Drosophila melanogaster: one gene and its partners. The protein of the gene in region 1 purifies or fractionates together with the protein of each later gene. This does not show direct contact. Each region holds a gene or a part of one and is shown in the gene's direction. Other genes may lie near its edges.

Region 1 (5,771 bases):
CAAAAGTTTTAAACCGAAACTTTTCTGTTTGAATAAAGGCGCGATCTGGCAGCTCTAGGTAGTGGTGTCACAGCGTCGATAACTAACTTAGTTTCTCACCGAGCTGCAACAAGTTTAATTACAATCGATAACGAAGATTGGAGCTTTTAGTGAGTAAAATTTGACCCATTTCTGTTGTTTGAACGTTTATTACGCATTACGTATTTACTTAAGCGATTTTGTGAATTTTTTGTGTGTAGTTATGTGCACGAGAGATGGAATTTTTGACCGAAAGCTGCTATCGATAGTGACATTCCTTCGATTTATTTTAGCAACCATCGATAGCTAAGCAAGCGAAACAAAAAATTATTTTCAACTTGAAAGTTTTGCGACAAGTGCGTGCAGTTGGCATCGAAATAGTTAACAAAATTGCCGCAGACTTCCGGAGACAACGCCGTAATGGAGGACCGTAAGTGTGTGGCATACGGACGCAGTGCATCATTGCAATTCCAATGCAGCGGCACATGTTTCCGTGGGCTCTTGTGACCTGGGCGATTGGGACACCTAAGACCTTTCGGGTAATTCGGGTATCATTACTATTGTAGGACTCTGATTCAGCAGCGGCTTTGCCAAAAGTTTTGGGGGACTTAGAATACACAATGAGTTAACCTTGGTGCGCTGGGAATCAGCAGATGAGTCATGGTTCCGATTTGCGTAGGGTGAAAGGCTTTCCAACTATTCGGATTACCGTGGAAGTTCTGCGACATGCCATCGATGGCAATCCGTTTGGTGGGCGGGGGTCAGGTTCTTTGTGGTGTAAGTATTGCATTCTCGGTTTCCGACGTCCATGCATACGTGGCTTTTAGAAGCGCAACATCCGCAGGGCGGCTATGATATGCATATCATCTGAAAACGCCTCCTCCCACTGAGCTTATCACCATGGTGCCACTATAATTGTTCGGAGCTCTGTTCCCCCACCGAAACCACTTAGTAATTGGCTTCCACTTGTTGACTTCTCGATGGGATTGGGCCTGCCACAACAACAGGCACTTCTGAGCAGCAAGAACTCGCAGCAAACCAGAACTAGCTCACATATATATATATATATATATATAGTGTAGATATAGGGTCCATCAATGTGGCACAGTGGCTTTGTGCTCATACAGTGCTTGATGGTCGGAGGAAGCTGGGAAAAATCGGAAAAATCCAAACTGGTAATTGCTATTTAGCAAGAAGCTAAATTATGAATTATTTTCCTTTTTTTGTTTGGCTCCAACAAAGCGATACAGTTATGTACAGTACGTTTTTGCAAAGAAAAACTTTATTTATAGTTATATTTAAAGTTCCTTATCATAGGGTTTTTCAATTTTTAAAGTTGTTCATCTCCTCACAATTGTTTACTTAATAAATTTAAAAGGTACAATTAAAGAAGAATATTATTCAATTAATAAATTGAAGTCTCGGTTTATCAAAGCTTTTTGACTGATAAAATAATCATTTTAGCTGCAATTAAATTAGACACATATATGTATATCTAGTGTCTTATCAAAGCGTACTTATTATTTATGCAAATATTATTAGCTTTATAACTTTCCCATGCTTATTAATTTATAAATTAAATGAAGTGTAAAGTTGGTTACTATAGAGCTAATGTATTTACGTAGCTGTAACTTTTAGTCAAGCTCTACTGTAGTCTTGCTGGTTGCTACTGCTGCTGCTGCCTGTTGCTGCCCCTTTTGTTTAGCGCTCTTCTTGTGGCATTTCTCGTCTTCGTGCTGACACGAATCATCAACAAGCGGAGCCAAGCGGCCAACCAATCCACATCTACCAATTTCTAAGCCGAGATCGAGTCAGTTGGCATTTGGCTGTAGACGAGCGTGGATGGAGCAGGCCCAGAATCGAAAGCGAAAACGAAACTGAAATCGAAACAGAAACAGAAGAACCACCACAAACCAGCTGCGATCGCATGGGGAGAGGAATTTATGTGGAACGCGGCGGGCCAAGAACTGAAAGCTCAGCAAAGAACGATCGAAGTGGCTGAAAGCAGGGCCAAGAAAAATGTGCTCGCTGCTGACCGTGGAAACGTGATATGTGCTTAGGATTGGGCCAAGACAATATGAGCCTCCTGCGCCAGCAGCTGCCACGTTCAAAATAGAAAGTTGCTGCCAAAGATGAAAGAGAGCGCCGCTATTGCCACAGAATGAGCGAATCGGAACCGAATAGCCTGGAGTTCATTGAAGACCCCTATCTGCCAAGCATTGATGATCTCACCAGCACACCGTCACTGGATCTGGAAACCAATGATGCCGTCTTGGACTGGTATGGCGATGGGCAGGAGGAGAGCGAGGCTGAGCTATATTTGCGTAATCTGACGCTAGACCAGATATTCTACGATGTGGATTCGGACTACACCAACAGCCTGGAATTGCAGGCAGTGGAGGCGGACTTCATTGCCGCCAAGTTGGCCAATCAAGCGCCATCGTCTTCGATGGCCAAACGCTTCCGCTTGAAGTTCTTTGCCAAGCGAACCATGCGCGACGTTAAGGTCACGTTCATAGACTTCTCCAAACCGTATCTGGCCAAAATATCAAACAGTGATAACTACAAGAGATTCCTCAACATTGGGCATAGAAGTAGAGGTACCAAATTCGGTCAGTGGGGAGGGGGGTTGGTGGGCTTAGGTCGGGTCTTTGTTCTGTGGCATTCGCTTTTCCACTTTCAACCATGACTAACCAGACTAACTTCTCTGTTTCTTTCTCCTTTGCCTGCCTTTCGCCTCGTCAGTTTGTGAGTATTAACAAAAACCCAGATCTAACCAATTAACCAACTCATGTCTTTGCAAATTGTACATACTCGTATATACAACTAAATTCGGTGTATTCAGCCTATGACAAAGTCTTTGAGGAAGTTGCTTTCAAAGGAGGTACTTAAACACTACCCGCCGACAACATTGAAATTAAGCTACAGTCCCCACACAGCACCCCAAGTTTTAATGTTCCCTTGGATTGGCATATATTTAATGGCTTTTTATTTCATGTTCAGATAATACAGCCAACCTGTCGGAGCCAGCATCTCCAGCTAATTCTGTGGCATCCGCAGAAATTGCCGCCGAGTTCGCTGCGCTTTCCGTCGAGGAGAAGGAGCAGCGTCGGGCTGAGTGGAGTCAGGTAAGGAAGTTTTCAGTTTTACGATCATAATTTGATTACTCAGCTCGAACGCTAACTTCTACTTCAATTTCCAGGAGCTCGCCCGCGTTGAGGAAGAGATCAATACGCTGCGAACTGTCCTAGCCTCCAAGACGCGCCATGCCTCCGATCTCAAGCGCAAGCTGGGCATCACCGTCTGGAAGGAGGTGACGGACGACGTGAACCAGGGCCTTAAGAACCTCAAGGAGAGCACTGTGTAAGTCTATGAACCGTTCGCAGTTCTGCTGGGCAATTAACCCGACTAGACAGTTTTAATTTCTAACCATGCTTTTTGTTTCAAACTCCTGTTGAAACGCTATAACGTGTATTTATTTAGTTACCAATCGGTGGAGCAGAGCGTGGGCACGTTTACTAAAACGGTGTACGAGGCACCACTGTAAGTAATTGGGTTCAGGCTGATTTTTAATTGGGTACTTTTGGAGTTACCGGACTAACGCCGTGTTTCACGCCACTTCCTTTAACACAATAACCAACTCTCGCCTGTTTGTAACTAAAGCGCACCTATGTTTGCCCACTTTGTGTATGGAGGAAAACTATCGAGATGAGTAACTAATGTTGGATTTATTTGTACTCTCCCCTAGATACCAACGCACTGAGTCGGTGCTAAAGTCCACGGGCGAGAAGACCGCCTCGGTGTTTGGCAGCATCACCAGTGGCATTTCGTCGAAACTGTCGCAAATGAAAAACTCCGAATCGATGCGTTCTATCGAGGCTTCGGTGGGCTCTGCCTACGAGAACGTTAAAGTAAGCTATGAACACAACAATTTTATGTGCCAATCTCATGCGGTAACTACTATTTTATTATATATCTGTCTTTACACATCTCTCATACTGTTGCGATTCTGTTTTGGTTCCCGTCTAACTAACTAGCCACTAACTAACCAACTAACTAACACTAACCACACATCTTTCACACTTGCTCACCCACTATAAACGCACTCTGAATTGGGATACTTCGGTTGATTTGCTTGCTTACACAACGAACTACTCCTTGCGCAAATGCTACTGCACCTCTACTACAATCTGTTCGGTTTTCTGTTCTATTGTAGACCAAGGTGACATCCCGCTCGGGTTCGGTGTCCAGTTTCCCAGATGCCCTGGACGAGAATAACACATCCTCGGGTCTGAATTCACCCACAGACTCACTCCCGAAATAGATTTCGGGGCAACTGCAAGGCCAAGCGCGTCGATAATGTGGAGCAACCTATACTACATACAAACAGACCCACGCACCCACTCTATTAACTTATTTAACTAAAGCGAATTGTCGTGTCTGCGCACTAACAACAGGATCAGAATTAATTTAACCAGAAATCATATGTACACCTGTGTCGATACGGTTTATATAATACTTAATATAACTAAAATCTGCGCGTCAAAAATTTGCCAATGGGAGCACATATTATATGCATCTATTTGTATTTGCCTTGGAGACACCATCAAATTGCATGACTTGTTTAAATTTAAAGCCACGGAGGATCGAAGATCCAAGGGCTTGCTGCATTCGTTTATATAACTATCAATCTAAGTGTACGTTTAAAGACTAAACCACATTGGATGGTCCACCCGATGTCATTCCCAAATGTTTCTAATACTTAGTAAAAACATTAGAAAATCATGCATTGCGGTTAAAGTGAATATACATTTGTTTTACGCTTTTATTTCTTCTCTAGGCGTTGAGTTCCGTGGTTAGATGGCGTTCCCTAATCCGTTGAAAAGCCAATTCCAAATTTATTTAGTACTAAATATTTGTGTTACGATCAGAGCTTGCGTGCAAATAACGAAAATCCATTGGTAAACTTAAGTGGATGTAGTCCGTACTGCTGAAGATTGAGAAAGAGACGAAATCGCACCCAATTTGTTGCTAATGCTGATCAAATTTGCTATATGTGTATGAAATCTTTGAATAAATGCAAAAATTTTTGCCCCATAAAAATAGCGATGTCTTTTTGATAAATGATGTTTGGGAGTATATGTGTGATTACCTTTTCAAACTTAAACTACAGCTAATGAATTAAAAAAAGTTAATTTCCAATTTCATCTGTCAGCTTTAAATATCCCGCCAAAAATTATAATAAAGTTGACAACTCTGATTTAACCCAGGGATCAACGTAAAACAGCTGTTTGCTTTGACGAGGTGGCAACGCCATAGAGGGTTCTTGCATACTTCTCAATTTTTTCTTCAGGCCACAAGAAAATCTTTAGATATGAGGAATTTTAAATGAAAACAGCGAGCAAACAGAACGCATCGTGATGCCGGAAACCTAATCAACCACTCCGAAGTAAAGTGCAATTAAATTACATAGTTTTATACAACTGAAAGCGGCTGGCCAGCCGCATAAAGTATTCGCCTACACCAGCATTGTTCTAAATGCTAAAAAGTTTATTACTCATTAAGCATTTGTGTGCCTAGTTAGTTAATTAATCGCAGCCGAAAGATGAACTTGACGTACTTGTTCGTGCTTATTTGGCTGGCCTTCCTCATCAGCAGCGGCGTGATGCTCTTCTCGCGGGGATTCCTATTGGCCCGGGTGTCCAAAACGGAGACGAGCACCTGTCGCAGGTTGTCCACAAATCCCAATGCTG
Region 2 (6,665 bases), on another chromosome or scaffold:
CCGCCGCAGATGGCCCATGTGTTTGCACCACCAGTACCACCGCAAGCTGGCGCTGCTCCGGCGGCAGGCAACGACGAACTATCCGGACCGGCAGTGAATCAGGCTGGAAACTAAGACTTCTACTGGGCCAACTGCTAATGGACCAACTGCTAAACCTGGACAAATTGTTAAGCTTTTATTTTCGAGAATCATCTGATTGTTTTGTATGATTGCGTTAGCAAATATCACAAGTGGCGCGATTGGTTCGGCCATCTGCATGCAAAGATGTGTACATTGCATTCATAATAATAATCTAAATTAATTATAACAATAAATCAATAAAACTATATGTGTATTTAAGGTCTTTACATAAACGAGAGTTCAATTTCTTCAAAAGTATGAAAAGGAAAAGGCAGCAATGTTCAAAAATCAAGACTATTTTTTTTTTTGGTTTGCTAAGAAAACAATTTATTTGATGTATTATAGCAAATACTTACACAATTTTATTAGCAGAAAAGTTATTTGCTGCAAAATAAATGAAGTAAAGATCGTTAGAAGTATTTTAGAATTCCATTTAAACAAACTTGCAGATTGAGTCACTTGTGCAAATGATATTCACATGGATTTTTGGACATTAATGGCAGCAAAATCACTAGAACAACTTTTTTTTTTAAATGCTAGTAGCAAAATAATTGTGACTTACGGCGACGATTTGTTTTAAGGGCATTTAGAATTGCATATATAAGCGGTTAAAAAGAAAGGACAAGAGCAACTTAATTGATAAGCATTTAAGGCAACGACTACGTATAACTAATTTGGTAGGCACCTCGTCTGAAAGTACTTCTCATCGACGAAGCGACAGAACTCGACCAAGTGCTGGAACTTCTGCACCGTTTGGGCCAGCGCCATGTTCGGCAGCGTGGTGGTCAGAATGCTGAAGAGGTGGCCGAAGGCGATGGCGTCCAGTTCGCAGGGCTGATCGCCGTAGAAGAATGGCGTTTCCGGCGACTCTTTCAGCTTGTATTCGAGCGTCTCACAGCACTTGGCCACCTTGTCAATGACGCTATCGATGTCCAGGTCGTCCCACTGATAGACCTTCAACAGACGCAGCGCGTTCCGCCGCTTTCCATAGTTCTGCATGTGATTGAGGGGCCAGGGAAAAACGACTCCGTTCCTGGGCGCTGTGACCTCTTTGTAGACGCGTTCGTTCTTGAAGCTAATGTACAGCTCAGCCATGGTGAAGATGTTCTCCACCAGCGACACATAGGTGCGCATGTCGGCCTTCTCGTCCTCGTCCTGCCAGCTGCCAATGGCCAGTTCCTTCTGCTCCACAAAGTTCACGATCGGCTCGAATTCGGCAAAGATGAATGCTCCTGCGCGGATGAAGGGCAACTTGGTCATCCTGCCGCCCGGCGACATGTGCTCCGCGTTGGCACAGGACCGAATCAAAAAGGGGAGGTTGCACATCTTCAGGTAAGCCTTCACAGCAAGGCAACTGGCGTTTTCCGGCAGTAGGATCTGTTCCGCTTCATACGGCTGTTTTTTTTAATGCACATTAATGAAAGGTTAATGTTAGTGAAGATTCTGGACCTATAAACCAGGACCTTACCTGGTAGAGGGTGGCGTCTTCGGGCCAGGGCTCGGCGGACAATTTGTCGGCCGTTATTAGCTGGCTCAGGTACTGGGATGTCATTGTAAATTAACGGAGTAAATTGTGTTTTTCAACTTGCACACCGAAATCGCCGATGAAGTAACAAGCAGCTGTTTGTCGGCGTTGCCAGACTGTTGCAGACAATGACCAAACAGCGATTCTTATTAGAAATTGCATTTCAGCAAGATTCGTTAAACTAATTAATAATTTCTTTTTAAACCCATACTTACAAAGTATAAAATAGATTTAGGGGAAGCTGTTTCAAAACTAAAAACTTTTTCGAAAAGCAAGTATTTTTGGACAGCAGTGTGAACGGATGACTTCTTCAAGTCCATCTCGCGTTTTGGTATTCTGTCCACCAAAGCATACGTTCACACTTGTAATTCTTATTTTATATTATTTGCTTTGTTTAAAAGTTAGTTATCAAAAGTTGTTAAAAATATAACATACAGTTACTTTTCAGTGATTAATTTTCAGAGATCGTACTATTTGATTAATTTCGCATATTAAAAGGTGAGTGCGCGTCGTTGCCAACTTGCAACTGTGTGTGTGTGTGAGTGCGGTGCCTTCCAATGCATTTTACATAAAAAAAATATTTATAATATTATTATATTAATTTAATACAAGCTGGCATTGATAGCAAATGTATGTAGTTGGGTGACTGCAGGCCAAGAACCACTCCCAAAAATTCTACTTGAAAATCAGTGACGATTCATGTGCCGGCCTCAGTGTGAGTGTGTGTGTGTGTGAGCTGGTGTGTGTGATTCATTCGTCTGGGGTTTTAACATTCTTCGTGCACATTTCTTTATCAAAAAAAGAGAAGAAAAAAAAGTGGCATGGTTCGTACTTTTCCCTGAATTATCCCCACACTTTGTCTTTGGCGGGGGGTCCTCTCTCTCTCTCTCTCTCTCTCTCTCTCTGGCAAGCCCTCTCGCTTGCACTTCCTTCGACGCTGGCACATTTGTTTGGAATTCAAATTTTCAGTTCGGTCAGATTGTTCTTGAAATTACCTTTTCTCACCCATCCTTAATTGTTGCGATTGTATTTATTGGCCCAAACTTGCGTTGTTAGTCCGAAAATTTTTTGTTTATTATTTTTTGCCATTCCCACACAAGCACGGAGAGAAATTGTGAGTGCTTTTCATATGCCTAATTTGGAAATATTACGATGAGATCTAAAAACCGATACTAAGATTCAAACTATTGATTTTTAAGCACCAATAATATTTACATTTACAAGTAAAAAACAGATAGATAGATAGATAAATATTTATTAGCTTTGAGAATTTCAAAATATGTTTTGTATAAAATTGAGAAATACATCATTATTACTACTGTATGTACACATGGGCCTGCAAAATCGTTTTGTATAGACACAATTTTATTACCTCAACAACAACTCGATGTCAAGTAATAACAATTCAATTTCATGTATTTTTTTTGCCCGGGTACACTGCATATGTATGTACATATATATAAAGCCAAATCTGGAGAATCGAGAATTATTATTGGCCCAACAACATTCGTTGAAAATGGACAGAGAGCTGGCGACGTGTATTTAGATAGTGGAAAACAAAGCAAGATAACAATAAAGCCATTTTCCGGGGGGCGGTGGGTTTGGCTTTTTGTCGCCAGTTCCCAGTTCTGGTCAATATTATTCAATGCCGATATCCGCTCTCTCTCCCTCCGTCGAGTTCGCCTGCCTTATCTAACTGCCGCTCCGTATTTGGTTGAACCTTTTTTTTTACTTTGCGAGCGGACCAGCTGCAGGTCGAGCGCCCCTCTCTGCCCCGCCCCCTAGACAGAGAACACGTCAGTTCATCAATGCGTTAATAATTGAAATTTAATCAATATTATTGAACGGGCTTATGAAGTGGCTACATTTGTTCGCAACGGAGGCACTCGTGTTGCCAAAAAAGTAAATAAACCCGCTTTATGGCCAGCGAATGATAACGTAATCAGTAGCGAAGTATATGGAATATGTTTGCGATCGTTGTTATTTGAATTTCAATATTTAACATTGTAATTTGTAGAAACAAATGTACTAACTACTCAACTATATATTTAGATGGCAGGTTTTTTTTTCGAATTTCTTCCCTGCATTGTTAAGTTATGAGCTCAACTCTCCTTAGGGCGACAATTTTCAGAAGAAAAAACACTCTTCCTACATTTTTTGAATGAGGAATACTTTCATACACTCCGATACGATGTAGCAGATATGGTGGCGCACATGCCATTAAAATGGAGGCATATACATATGTGTATAAAACAACATCATTATCGTCAAAATGTTACTCACACTACTAAAAATATGCCTATGACCCACAAGCTTCACCCAGAGAAACCGACGCATACTAAGCAAAATCCGAAGCAATATTTAAATGTAATTGATTGATAAACAAACAATTGCCTTTGGACAGTTCTAGGTTAGCAATCATGGCCGAAACAGAGACGAAGCACCATCCCGAGCACCACGACGACGATGTCCACGATGCCAACTACCAGGCGCCGCCGGAGAAGACCATCGAGGAAATAATGGCCGCCGATCAGGAGGATGAGAGCTTGCGGCGCTACAAGGAGGCGCTCCTGGGTGCCGCCCAGACCGAGAAAATTATTGTTGGTAAGGGGCGGTTAACTTGGCCTCTGAAAGTGGAGGGTGCAGAATATACTAAAGCAATAACATTTTTACCCAGAACCCAATGATCCCCGAAAAGTTATTGTAAAGAAACTGGCCCTCGTTGTCGAAGGACGCGACGACATGGAATTGGATCTTACCGGTGACCTTAGTCAGCTGAAAAAGCAGGTAAATATCATTAACCATCATCATCCATTCGACTACTTTTGTTAATCAAAACCCTATTGCGACAGCTTTTTGTGATCAAAGAAGGTGTTCAGTACAAGGTGCGCATTGATTTTATTGTGCAGCGTGAAATAGTCCATGGCCTTAAGTATGTTCAAAAGACTTCTCGCTTGGGTGTTAATGGTGAGTATTTAAACATGACATTTGTATTTTTAATTGGCAGAATATAGAATAGATTTACACTCTCAATTCTATCAACATTATATGTCTTTACTTAGGGCAAAGCAATTATATTTCTTTTTTGTCCTACCCTAATTTTCTATTAATTGATTTATTTATTTACTGACCTAGTGCCCTAGTATTGTAAGAATAAAATTAAATTAAAACCGGGTCAAAAGATACTTGTTTTTAGTTATTTTCCATACGTTACACTATGCGAGCACTTCTAGGTCTTCAATTTTCCGTGCTGACGCGAAATCGTTAGTATTACACCTCAGTTTTTGATTGACTTTTGTGCGGGCTAGTCGAGTTTTGTTTCTAGCAATGGGTAAAAGCTGGTTCAATGGCACAACCATACTGGTGGGATTTTGCAGTGCTGCCTATATCCTTTTTTTCACAATTGCCATACTAACTTTAGTCATGTGTTGAGAATAACTTGTATTCCATTATCTCCAATGCCAAACCCTAATTTCGGAATGTATAATTTTTTAAGTTGTGGGTAAGCTGGTGCAGCCCATCCGCAAATGTGTATCCTTACTAAACTGACTGTTTTCGCATTACTCCATAGTTGACAAGATGAAGCATATGGTTGGCTCCTATCCGCCGAAGAAGGAGATTCAGTTCTATTTGACGCCCGCCGAGGAGGCACCTTCAGGCACATTCTCCCGCGGCACCTACTCGGTCAGTTCGGTCTTCACGGATGACGACAAGCACATACACCTGGAGTGGGACTGGACCTTTGAGATCAAAAAGGACTGGGCCTAATTGGCACACCGAACAGCACACAACAAACACACACGACACACAACTTACAACATACATCATACGCTTTTTGTTTTCCCTCAAACATGCCTTGTAAATGAGTTTAGTTTTGTTCCAAAAGTGTAAGCGAATTTTTCCAAAAGTGTAATTGATCGTCAAGTATTTTTGTTAACGGTATTAAATTTTAAATATTTTTGTAACTAAAGTGTAATGTAAAGCCATGATAAGTATTTTTGATACCCTATTTGCAATTGGAATGTGTGCAGATGAAGAGCATTTTTCGCCTAAGTCCTCCTCAATGAGAGTCAAGTCAAAACCAAGTCAAGTCACTAGGCCAGTCAGTCAGTCAGTCAGCCAACCAGTCAGTCAGACAGTCAGTCGTTTGGTTCTTAATGCCATTGCCTATGTTTAACATACATTTTCAAACAGATTAACAATTGAGTAATTAACTTTAAGAAAGTTGTTTGCATTTCGCTGTGTATTTCAAATTGAAGAATGGAATAGTTTATTGTAAGAACAAGTCGCCTCAAAACTAAAAAGAAACCGATTAAAATCGTGCAACACGAACTGTTAAATGCAACTAAAGCTGATGCTTTATTATGCATTTGAAGTTTGTGCAACATGGAGTTACTTAAATCCACATTATTCTAACTATATATCTCTGTGTATTTTTTGTGTACAACATACCATATATGCGAAAGCTGATTGAATGCAACCGAAGAGCAATAAAGAATAAAGGATACATATTTTAAAATAAATGCCTAAGTGAGCGAATTCTTTTTCCATGATATGGGTATCCCATAAATTATAGTGGCAGTGTGTGCACAGATTTCTCCGTAGCCAAAGATAAGTTGACTTCACACTTTATAATGCTTATCAGCTTACATTGCCAAGGGGCAAACGTCATAAATTGTGGCCAGCAGAGCGAGTATTACTCATCCGCCCTGTGAACGGTCACCAAATATTTTTCAAGGTGTACAAAAGAGAGAATTTGTGAAACACACTTCTCTGTTTACATTCGCAACCAGCAACAAGTGGCCAGCCTCTTGTTGCGCCAGACATTAGCAGCATGTTGCCCAACAATCGCCGCTTCAGAACAGAAAATAATAATAACCGCATTTTATATTCCAACGCACATTTGTCTTCAGAGTCGCGAAAACCTGCATGAATAAGCAAGTTACTTTTTCGGAAATTGCTATAGTTGCCAGCAGAAAAATGGTGTAATTTAAGAAAAACAAATCATTTGTGTTTTCGG
Region 3 (3,739 bases), on another chromosome or scaffold:
CGGAGTACTACTATAACATCTCGTGGAGTGGACTCCACTCCACTAACAAATTATTCTGCGACTTTTACTACGTTGAACTGGACAAAGTATGCGCCCGACATCGCAAGGCTGTGGCCAACTACCTGGCCATGAAGCTGCTCTATAGATTCGATCCCAAACTGAAGGCGCCCAGGTACCAAAGGAACTACTGTTCGGTTACGCTTTATCAATCCATGCGGTTTCTGTTCAACAAACTCTACATGGCTGTGGGTAACGAATGCGTATGATGAGAATACCAAATAATCTCAACACTCTTGTGTTACAGAACAACTTCAGTGAGGCGAAGAGGCTGGAGATGTCGGAAATGGTGCGGGAACTGCGAAAGAGTCTGCGAAAGGCGCTGGAGGATGCCGATTGGCTGGATGCGGAGAGCAGGGCGAGGGCACTGCTTAAGGAGTCCAGAATACAGCCACGCATTGGTTCGTTCCAAGATGATGCACTTTCGGATCGAATAATCCGGGAAATCAACAGTCTGAAAGTCATCGAGGATCGCTATGCGGAGACCAACATTAATTTGCAGCACCTAGTTGTACAAATCAATCGATTTAGCAGTCGGCATTTTCAGGAGCTGACCAATGACACCAAGCCACAGAAGATCCTGACAGGATTGCAGGTTGGAGCGGGCTACTACACTCCGGACAACTCCATTAATGTGATGGCTGGCGTGGTGGAACCACCGATATACCAACGCCACCTGCCGATTTCCCTGAAATTCGGCACATTGGGTTTTATCGTTGGTCATGAACTCATCCACGGCTTCGATACGACCAGCTCCTATTTCGATGGCAATGGTCACATGGAGTCCTTGTTGTCGGAAATTTCGCAACAGGCATTAGAGGATCGCGCCGAGTGCTACATGGACTACTATGGCAAGTACCAGGTACCGGAGATCAGCAGGCGTGTCAACGGAAAAACTACACTGGACGAGAATATCGCAGACAATAGCGGATTAAGACAAGCATTGACGGCCTATCGCAGTCACAGGCAGCAACTGCTGGAGCATCCTGGGCAGGAGAGGATAAGCGACGCCATGCCGGGTCTCGATCTCACGCCGGAACAGTTGTTCTTCCTGGGATTTGCCCAGCTATTTTGCTCCCATTACGAGGAGGAGCACTACTGGAAAGGTCTTAGCGATGTGCACACCTTCGACCAATTTCGTGTCCTGGGAGTTTTGTCCAACAGCGAGGACTTCTTCCACGCCTACAACTGCTCCGTGGGCAGCGGCATGCGTCCTGGCGCCAAAACGTGCCGACTTTGGTAGATCATAGATTTATAATCATCATCATAAATTCCTTGAACCAAATAAAAGTTGATTTCAATACTTTTTACCGACAATGTAAAATGTTTTGACACAACACTTCAAATTTACGTTACACGTAACAAGCTAACATTTGTGGTTTGAGTACAACTATCGAAGTTTCGCACCCCAGAGCACCGTTCAAATTTAGTCACATCTCCGCAGCGCGCTCGGTAACTCTGTTTCTCATGTCAATTTTGTGCATGACAATTTTGTTCAACAGAAACTGCCTTTTTTTGTAACCAAGTCAGGCTGTCAGTCAGAAGTGTTCCGACTTCGTAAAACATAAACCAACAATTCACAGCAACAACATAATGTCGGCAGCAGCAGGGTGAGTCCACAACCGGCCATCTCAGTGCCAATCGGCGATAGCCGGACCATCTTTTTGTGGCTTCTTTGTGCGTCGCGTGCTTTGTCGTTGCGGCGGCGTCCATTTTCGAACTCCCGGCCGTGAAAAACACATAATTTTCGTTCGGATGACCCTTATTCTCGCGCTCATCCGCCTGGCCAAGCGTTTGTGTCCACGGTGGGCGTGTCCTGTGCGCATCTGCATTGCGATATTTGTGGAACTAATCGGAGGGTCCAGTGTTTGAGGTTATGTTTTCGGCTGGCGGTAATGCCGTGCATTTTCGGCATGGACTTTTGCCTGGGCTTATGGTTTATGCAAATCTAGCTAGCTGGGAAGCTATTTACATAGTTCGTGCACCCGCTTCCAGAAAGTCCGACGCGAGTTGCCATGGCAACGGATCTCGCACAACGACATGAAGCTCTTATTTATGTTTATCCAACTTGATCCTCCATTGCAGCTTGATTCCGCCTCCAGTTTCCTGGGCCCAGCGCAATGACTTGATCTACGTCATCATCGATGTCGAATGCAAGGACATCGAACACAAGTATATGCCCCCATATGTAGTATGTCCATGCTCCTTGCACATCCTAATTCCATATATTTATCCCAAAACAGAGTTACGGAAAAAACCTTCACCTTCAAGGGCGTAAACGTGCTGGATCCGTCGAAGAAGTACGAGGTCACACTGAACTTCCTCCACGAGGTGGATCCCGAGAAGGTGACCAGCAAGAACATTGGCCGCTGCCTGGAATTCACAATACCCAAGAAGGCGGCCGGTCCCTACTGGTCCTCGCTGACCACGGACAAGACCAAGTTGCATTTCCTAAAAGCCAACTTTGCCAAGTGGCGCGATGAGTCCGACGACGAGGAGGGTAAGTTGACATCCTCATCCCCAAGATCTCATCCAGCAAACCCACTCATACAAACGCACTTTGCAGGTGACCAAAAAGACAACAGCATGTTTGGAAATTTCCTTAACAGCCCTGGTGGCGATTGGAACAACAAGTTCGACGATTTCAACGTCGATGACGAGGAGGAGGACTCGGATGACAACATCCCAAGTCTGTCCCAGAACGACGAGGATGACGAGGAGGGCGGCGAGGGTGATAAGGAGAAGAAGCCAGCTGCCTAGACGGTCGCTCAGATGGTGTCTCGCAATTTGGCGTAGTCGTAGCGTTAGGCGTGGCTCTTATACCATAAGTCAGCACACGATCACAACACTCACTCCTCACATACACACCAGAAAAGAAAAAGAAGAAACACTCAATCACTCATAAAACATCCACAAACGCATGCGTACATGAAACACTATTCCAATCGAAGAAAACCACATTTAATATACCTGAATATTATGCGTATTCAGAGGAGAGATGTTAACAAAAAGCAACACAAGGAACAAGATGATTTGGCGCCGACAAGGGAAACCATAAGTTTTACGCTAGAATTTAACAACCAGAGGAAAGCTACAACCAATTTATTGCAAAAATCAGTTTGCAGTTTATTATTTTTGTTTCCTGTAAATAAAGGAAATTAACAATAAAAAAAATGAAAAACTTATATTCGGCTTTTTATTTTCAATATTTTATAAGTTTACAACATTCTATAAATGTTCTAGAAATCTCTAAACTGTTAAATTCGGAATGCGCAGTCCAGCTTCTTAAAGATGTCGCAAAGAAGGCTTTATCTTTGAATAGATAGCGATTTTAAAAAGAAATTATAGGTAATGGTTAAAAATTGTTTATGGGTAATCCCCTAGAATTTGGGTTTAAAATTAACATAGGTATTTTTTTCTTTAAATTTTGCGCCCACTTAAATGAATTTTGTTATGTTGGCAACACTGTTGCTGTGACAACGCGGGAAAGAAGAAGCACAATTGAAATGCAAAGCAAACAAACAGTTATCACTCGAAATAAAGGACTTGCTGTCAAGCGATAGAACGGAAAAGCAAGGTATAAGATTCCCCTCAAAACGATACCATGAAACCCGCTGCGATTCCGGCTAGCGAGCGGCGTCTGGCCTTCGTGGCCGAGTGGTTCCATGCAGAGGCTGGAATC

Evidence for each region. The genes of interacting proteins can lie anywhere in the genome.
Region 2: the proteins of CG5174 (region 1) and RhoGDI purify together in Drosophila melanogaster (affinity purification with mass spectrometry, with the first as the bait; one large-scale study listed by BioGRID). This does not show direct contact.
Region 3: the proteins of CG5174 (region 1) and p23 purify together in Drosophila melanogaster (affinity purification with mass spectrometry, with the first as the bait; one large-scale study listed by BioGRID). This does not show direct contact.

What each region holds. Positions count from the first base shown.
Region 1 is NT_033778.4:18,421,106-18,426,876, forward strand, and holds CG5174 (uncharacterized protein), read left to right. Parts: upstream 1-1,826; 5' UTR 1,827-2,179; coding exon 2,180-2,630; intron 2,631-2,763; coding exon of another isoform or gene 2,764-2,766; intron 2,767-2,863; coding exon of another isoform or gene 2,864-2,902; intron 2,903-3,021; coding exon 3,022-3,146; intron 3,147-3,220; coding exon 3,221-3,381; intron 3,382-3,501; coding exon 3,502-3,561; intron 3,562-3,766; coding exon 3,767-3,971; intron 3,972-4,234; coding exon 4,235-4,342; 3' UTR 4,343-4,858; coding exon of another isoform or gene 4,859-4,900; 3' UTR 4,901-5,116; downstream 5,117-5,771. Other genes in the region: PIG-O (phosphatidylinositol glycan anchor biosynthesis class O), read left to right, coding at 5,624-5,770.
Region 2 is NT_037436.4:19,926,766-19,933,430, forward strand, and holds RhoGDI (RhoGDI), read left to right. Parts: upstream 1-1,977; 5' UTR 1,978-2,143; intron 2,144-4,049; 5' UTR 4,050-4,065; coding exon 4,066-4,249; intron 4,250-4,322; coding exon 4,323-4,432; intron 4,433-4,497; coding exon 4,498-4,612; intron 4,613-4,925; exon of another isoform or gene 4,926-4,972; coding exon of another isoform or gene 4,973-5,077; exon of another isoform or gene 5,078-5,147; intron 5,148-5,216; coding exon 5,217-5,413; 3' UTR 5,414-6,165; downstream 6,166-6,665. Other genes in the region: Grasp65, read left to right, coding at 1-114; CG8004 (uncharacterized protein), read right to left, coding at 790-1,515, 1,589-1,672; CG46462 (uncharacterized protein), read left to right, coding at 4,973-5,077.
Region 3 is NT_033777.3:9,676,420-9,680,158, forward strand, and holds p23 (p23), read left to right. Parts: upstream 1-1,507; 5' UTR 1,508-1,650; coding exon 1,651-1,667; intron 1,668-2,142; coding exon 2,143-2,229; intron 2,230-2,300; coding exon 2,301-2,557; intron 2,558-2,623; coding exon 2,624-2,817; 3' UTR 2,818-3,239; downstream 3,240-3,739. Other genes in the region: Nepl12 (Neprilysin-like 12), read left to right, coding at 1-245, 305-1,300; nmdyn-D7, read left to right, coding at 3,662-3,739. UniProt on the Drosophila melanogaster protein: Cytosolic prostaglandin synthase that catalyzes the oxidoreduction of prostaglandin endoperoxide H2 (PGH2) to prostaglandin E2 (PGE2).